Linked DNA regions of Oreochromis niloticus. The protein of the gene in region 1 interacts with the protein of each later gene in a pairwise test. Links are inferred from orthologs where the notes say so. Each region holds a gene or a part of one and is shown on either strand. Other genes may lie near its edges.

Region 1 (3,754 bases):
CCTATTTAAACATTGTTACACACCGATACAGCCCATAATGACAATATTCACAGATGGCAAAGCTTCTTTGGACATGACAATACACCCTAATTACACAGCAAACATTGTTGAGGAAATGCCAAGGAGTTCAGGTGCTGACTTAGTCTTTAAAGCCCCTCTCATTGAAAATAAGCCTGGGGCCTGCCGACTTACAGACCGAGTCTGACAACTTTGTCGAAATGTATGGAAGCTTTGAACGGCCTAAACAATAATGTGTGTTGGAGCGGATTAGCCTGTTGCTCTTATGGTTTCGATTAGCTGAAAGCAACACAATTTTTAATGAACATTTAGGTTTGTATTGTTCAGAAAATGTCTCAGGCTTTTAATCATGTCTTTATAGTGAGAGCATTTTTGATTTGTCTAATTAGTAATGACAGGTCGTGTTCTTAAAGCAAAAACACTGAATTATTATAATAATATTAATTAGAGACACAATACGGATAAGTGAATGACAGTGATACTGTTTTTAGTTTTATGTTAACATTTACAGAAAAAATGAAGGGCACTCGAGAAAACAAACGAGACATTACATAACATAATCCCGATAACATCTAAAGAAAAGAAAATCATTGTCATTTTTAAGGCCATGACGTAATCATCGAAAAATGCTGAAATTAATTAATTTATTTATTTAAAAAAAAACGTTAGTGGTACATAATTATAAAGGATATTTAATAAAGCGGTTAAAGACACCTGAGAACATGTTCTGTATCTAGAAGACAAGTGAATGTGAAGTATGCTAACACCTATGTTGGTTTCAATGACCAAACGAAGGCTGCTGTGGATACCCTAACCCAGGGGTCGGCAACCCGCGGCTCCGGAGCCGCATGCGGCTCTTTAGTCCTTATAGTGCGGCTCCGCGTGGTTTGGGAAAATAAATTAGAAGTATTTCGCTGAAGTGTATTTTATTTATGTTAGTTCTTTTAAATTTGTAGTTCTAAATTGGAAGATTATTGTGATATTGAAATATAAATATAAAATTATATTCTATTATTTTTTCCTCACTCAATATAAGCGTCACACTCGCGGAAGCTGGTATTCCCGCCGAAACACCGTGCATTTATCGAGACTTTCAACCCCAGGTAGGCCAATTATGGATCTTCGGATCCACATTATGTCAGCAGCTCCACCGTGAACTATGTTAAAGACAAACACTGCTCACGCCTCACAGACCACAGATGACAGCTTACAGTCCTGTGTAAACGTGATTGCGGGTGCCGCTCAGGTGCGTCCGCCTCCCCTGCAGCGGCGCTGCAGACCACGCCCCCGCCGCACGCATTAACCAGGTAAAATACATATTTAGGCAGAATTTTGCAAATATCTATTTTTAATTTTTCAGCAGCATAGAGCTTTTTTACCAATTATTTTTTAAAAGTCAGGTCAAGGCTCCAACAGCCCAAAGGAGATATAAGGGAGGCGGCTCACAACAGTTTTTGTTTGCTACATGGATCATTTTAGTTCAGCTGGGTGTCTTTGCTTTTGTTATATTTCTTTAAGAGTTCAAAATGTGTTGATTACATAAATAAAATGTAATTTTCTCTGTAGCACTTCGTGGATTTCATAAGCAGCACACTTTACCTCACCTCACCTTACCTTGTTCACACAAAGGAAAAAAACAATATATACAGTGTTATCTTCATTTTAGATGTCAAAAAGTATTTGCGGCTCCCAGTGTTTTCTTTTGTGTGGAAACCGGGTCCAAGTGGCTCTTTGGGTGTAAAAGGTTGCAGACCCCTGCCCTAACCTATGTGATCACAGTTTACAGGTCGGTGCCACAGATGGATATAAAACCTGAGAAGCACAGGGAGGACACCAAAACACAGGAGTGACTGAAGCCCTGAAAACACCAGTGCTGCTCTGTGGCATTAGTCACTCTGCTGAATCTTGAGTGGAGTCGGCGTGATCATTTCATTAACAAGAAACCTGATTCCTAACATAACCGCTCTTCTTAGAAGAAATACTAACCTCTAGTTTATGGTTGAGCTGGAAGACAGTCTGGGTTTTATGACAGAGCTGAGCGAAACAGGAGCTGAGGCTGGTCATCTTCTGCCGACCCTCATACGTTATATCCACTTGATCTGGATCTATTTCTCCAAGCAACAGATCCACATCCACGAAAGCCTTATCAAATTCCTTCTCCAGCACTTCTAGCCATCGAAACATGGACATACTGGGGACAAGGCCCGAGTGCTGGCCCGATGGGGAGCATCCAGTCGAAGCAGACATGGTTAGAGCAAGGTAACGCTGATGTTAGCTTTGTGCTAACTTAAAAAACGATGACAAATTAATCTCTGCCAACACCGTTAAAATAACGCTGTAATGTGATGAACACTGTATTGGTCCGTAGACTTAAAATTCCCGAAAGCAATGCCTAACCAGGAAGTCCCACATCAGATTCACGATTTCATCCAAGCAGCCACTACGCAGAAAGCGGCGTACAGGAGAGCTACGGCTACTCCTTCCGCTACTGTGGAACTGTGCCCTGTGGGTGTTCTACGGGAACTGTCTGTCTACGTCGTACCGGAAATACGACATGTTTACGCAGAGCTTGTTCCTGTTCTTACTTTCACAATTAAAGTCTTCTAATGCGAGAAATTTTGTAAAAATAAATAAATAACATTATTTATGAACAATATAATTTTACTAATCTCGGGGCTTTCGTGACATTTGCAAGTGTAATGATTTACTGTGTAGTGTTCAAGTAACACGTGTTGTGTAGTTCTGGCTCACTAAGTAACTGATGAGGATGTGCACAAAAAGCATTATGCTGTATTGCTCGTAGGGATGGGAAGCTTCTGAAGCGCAGGTGTTAGAAAAACCAAGGCCAGTTTCGACAGGTGGCGTACACCGGGCACCAGGATTCACTAACCAACACCCTCTCTCTCAGTAATGTTTTTGTCGTGGATTGTGAAGCCCAATATGGATTATCCAAGCACTCAAACACTGGAATCTAAAGTGTAATCTGTGGCATAAACTCACTGCTGAATATCTCAATAAAAACCTCCTCTCTACTTTCAATGAGAAAATAAAACAGCAGGAATTTTCAGCTCTGAATCCCTTTCAACAGAAAACTTTATTTGCTGCAATAAGTTACTTTATTATCACTATAACACAGTACTCATATAACGCCATAAAGAATATATTTATACTGTTAAAAGAAATGTTAGAAAAACATCCATTAAATACAGGTGATCCCTTTTTCATTCCCACTGACGCTTCTGCTGTAATAATCTCATAAAGAGCAGGAGTAATGCAGTTTCACTATGACCCAGTAAAACATCATGCCAGTGTTATAAGATACAGCATCCACAGCAGTATAAAGTAAAGTTTCTTCATGGTTCAGAGGTTGCTCAGCAGAGGATGATTTAAAAATGTTCTGGTCAACCTGTGTGAAATGGTCTGTTATGATTGGTCAGAATTAGCCTATGAAAATGTGACAAATTTGACCTTTTTATAAATAAGGAATTCTGTCTTTTTTATTTAAATATTATAGATTTTAATTAATTGAAATTAAAACCTAGTGCAGTGCCAGTTTCTAGCACGAAGCTGACACGAACACCTGGAAAGCTTCAAAATCAATCAAAAACCAACCAAAAACAAAGCACACTGATCTCACAACAGCTGGAAACCTGTGTGGTTATTCCAATAAACACAGCAGTCTTTTCTCAAATGATTTAATTTACTTTGTAAATTAAGTAACTGAGAGCAATATTAA
Region 2 (3,754 bases), on another chromosome or scaffold:
ATGGGATTAGACTTAATGCGCCATTTTATATCGTGTAACGTGTCACATTCTGGGCGCTGCGCCCTTGTTTATGAGGTGCGTCCGAATTACAATTAGCCCACATTTCACCGAGATTCCTTTGAAGCCGCCGTGCTGCACTAACCGGCGGGCCACATTAATCTGACCGTCCGTGTTGTGTGCCACCTCTCTCCAAATTAGGCACAATGCGGCGGCGCCAAAGCGCACAAAGGTTTAATTGTGCAGAAACGCCGCGTGTCCAATCGCCGAGTGTGTTTATGAGCAGCAAATGAAAACTGGTGGACATGAAATAGTTACACCCACCATGACACCCCCTCCTCTCTGTCTTTATTTGATTTATCGAATTTTCAGGCTGTGCACAGCTACAGATATGGATTTCATTTTGAAGCTGAAAAACTTTCAATAAATGATTTTACTGCGCAGCACTCGCTCCCGGTGTGTGCGGGTGCACGCGTGTCCGTGCAAGTCGCTTTAGCTTTAAGTTTCTAAGCTTTAATGTGTCGGTTTTCCATCACTGCTGGGTGGCCGAACCTGGACCGGCGAGCTCTGAGCTCCGAGTCCGGACCACAGCGCGCGAGGGGAGGGAATCCCTCCAGTGTCTGACGCTTCCTTTACCAAGGAAACCCACACGCGCTCGCTGACGCAACTGCCCATTTTAGGAAACATGCGTCAATGGACCCAAGCAAGTCAGACAAATAGTGAACTCCGCGGCAGCACTGACGTCCGTAACAAAAAATAAACCCCTCCACACATGTTCTGGACCACTTTTACCAAATCCCAGCTTTTCGGTTTTCTCCCTGCTGTCCGCAGGGCGCAGGATGGTGATAACGGATCTTTTCTTTTTCACTGCCTTTTGGAGAGACAACCCCTCCCTGCTGAAGTCGCAACGCCCATGCGTGACGTAGGCTCTTTCGTTGGTGTTGAAAAGCCGTTGCAGTTCTTCATAGTGCCATTGAAGTGAGTCATCTCTAGGAAGTGTGGTAAAAAGGAAAAGAAAAAAAAAGTTCGAAGTGTTCCGTGAGCAGCAGAGAGAGCTCAGAGGAGTGTAGCTGGCAAGGCGACGGAAAATATTGAGAAGAGTAGAGAGGCAATAGGCTTTAAAGCGAATGTTAACCTGTGTGAGTCACTCTAACTACATGTTTGATTGTCGCTGCTGGATCTGACTGCTGAAGGTGTGCTGCTGACTTTAAGCTGAAGTTTGCGCACCTGAGAGGATCTTTAGCAGCGTAGTGTAGGTTTACCTGCGGCTCCAGGAAAAAAAAACAAAACAAGAAATAGACTCTACAAGCAGGAATAATACACAAGAAAAAAAACGATTTGTATTATAAGTAAAATGTTTTAGGTTAGTTTACAGGAGCAAAATTGCACTTTTGTTTTTTTCTCCTTCTTTGGAAATTAACGACTTCTCGAATCAGAGGATTTTTTTTTTCCTGTTGGTGCCTTTTTTGCATCGGGGATTTAAAAAAAAAAAGGCTCTCAGAGCTCAAACAGTGCACTGAAATCTTCCTCTTTCCTGGATCATGTACCAGGACTACTCCGGGAACTACGACACCTCGTCCCGCGGCAGCAGCACCTCTCCGGCCCAGCCAGAGTCCTTCACAAGCGGCAGCAGCACGATCGGAAGTCCGATCTCTACCTCAAGCTACCAGGTAACAGAAGGAAAGGACTGGCTGCAGATTAATCTATTAATGAATGCATTCTGGATAACATGAAAGTGTCAGTTCGTTCTTGTGCAAAGTCCAATTTTTAGAAAATTATTCCATCGTGTTGCTACTTCCAGCCATTAACTGAATTTAAACAGGAATTTTCCGGGTCGCCTGGAGACACAAATCCGAATGAACCCAGTGACACGGTTCGTATCAGTGACTCAACAGGGGCAGTAGTCAATCTGTGCATAGGCGCAGTCTGATAATATTACAATAATTTTGCTTTTGAAATATTTAGACACTGATTATTTTATCTAATGTTAAATTTCTCCATTAGTGCGCACCGCAGCTGGCGACAATGCGCAAGTTTGCGTAAATTTATGGTACAATTGTCTTATCCCAACAATTTAAAAAAAAAAAAAAAAAAAAAAAAAAAAAGACATACAGGGTGGTTTGTGCACTGTTGCAGGGAAATTTGGCACACTGGAATGAATCCGAGTCTGTGATTTACAGATGTTAAATTCCCCTTTCTTTCTGCCAAATTCACTGTGCGTTTGTAAAACAGGAACATTTCTGGGGTTTTTGCCAATTTTCTCACAGAGACGAATGCGTGTAAAGCAAATGCACACCTGAGCTTTTTACACTTTTCATGCTGCGGTAATGATAAACTAGCTAGAGATGAAGCTCATGGTGGATGCAACAGGCATTTCGTGTTGGGCTGTGAGATGTCTGATTTCAATATTCCATATGTGTTGCTGCAGAATTTGACCCAAGTTCCGTTTAAGTGTCCACATGTTTTTATTCCACATGGAATCAGAGTCTAATTCGACCAGGCGGGTCTCGGGCTGCACATGCCACATTTTCTCCAGCTGGAAGCGCGCTCTGACTGGGAGCGCAGGGCAATCAAAAGCCCGTTCTTCCTCGCTGTGTTCACGGTAGTAATTGTAGAGATACATCTAAAACACCAAAATCTCATAAGGTTACGCTTTTACATAGTCTGAGTGAGACTTTAGACACAGTTGAGGTGTGCCAGTGTAATGCCGTGAAGACGCGGTATCTCAAAAATACGAGGATATAAATCCGGGAACAGGCATGTTGTTTACCCCCACACCCTCTGCCGTGCAATTCTGTGGAAAAGCCTCCTCAGGCTCACGCAACATTACGGTAAAAGACTTTTGGACAGTGTGTATCATTGCTCTGGTTCCCTGTAATCACACGCTGGCTGCCTGTTTCCCATTACAGGGTTGGAACATGAACTCTTCGCTAGTTTATGGAGACATATGAAAACGACCCCCCTCCCCCCGCGTGTTTTTGCAAGACCAGTATCATTTTAATCAGACTTGTTTGGCTCTAATGTCATGATTCCACTGAATGTCCTTTGTAGGCAGTTATTCATTTCCTGGTTTATATGTATTGTAAATTCCAGTGCTCTTATTCTGAAGCCAATCTGGCCCAAAAATTCCACTCGCATAATTCTGGATAATATGTCTGGCTTGTTACAGCTGGCTGCTTCCCCCCTTACTGGAACTGACCGCGTTTCACATGTGCTCGACAAATGCAATACACAATGACTCACCAGATAAACAAAGTTGCAAGAGACTGCCGGGATATCCGACGGAAAGTCGGGAATAACGGGGATGTGGGGACGTGCGTAATTTACGCACACAGGCTGGCATTCCTCCTTTTTGATACCAGAAACAATGATCTAACATCACTTCTCATGTTGATGTGTTTGTACAAGACCTTGTTGCACAAATGTATATAGGCACGATATGTAAAATGTTTGTCTGTATGAGAGTCTGAACAAAAATCTACCATTCTGGAACACATTATATCTTGAGATGTTCTCACATCTCTTTTTTTTTTTTTCCACTATTCCCCCCCCCCCAATTGTATGTTTGTTTGTTTTTTTTTAAACAATCTTCTGTGAAATAAATTTAATAAAGTTTATTCCATTAAAAATATAATTTTACATTTCCCATCTGCCCCGTCAAATCAGAAGTGAACTTAAGAAGACGTGAAATGGCTCTCTAGTGCACTGTTATGTCTCATTGTAGTAAAAATGAGATGCAGTGGACACCTTGGGCTTT

What was found.
Region 2: the proteins of gopc (region 1) and fosl2 interact in a two-hybrid assay, tested with the Homo sapiens proteins (2 studies listed by BioGRID and IntAct). The two-hybrid records come from large-scale screens. The link is inferred for Oreochromis niloticus from reciprocal best matches to the Homo sapiens genes GOPC and FOSL2.

Annotation. Positions count from the first base shown.
Region 1 is NC_031980.2:28,204,024-28,207,777, reverse strand, and holds the start of gopc (Golgi-associated PDZ and coiled-coil motif-containing protein), read right to left. Parts: upstream 2,547-3,754; 5' UTR 2,266-2,546; coding exon 2,005-2,265; intron 1-2,004.
Region 2 is NC_031983.2:23,202,016-23,205,769, reverse strand, and holds the start of fosl2 (fos-related antigen 2), read left to right. Parts: upstream 1-859; 5' UTR 860-1,538; coding exon 1,539-1,667; intron 1,668-3,754.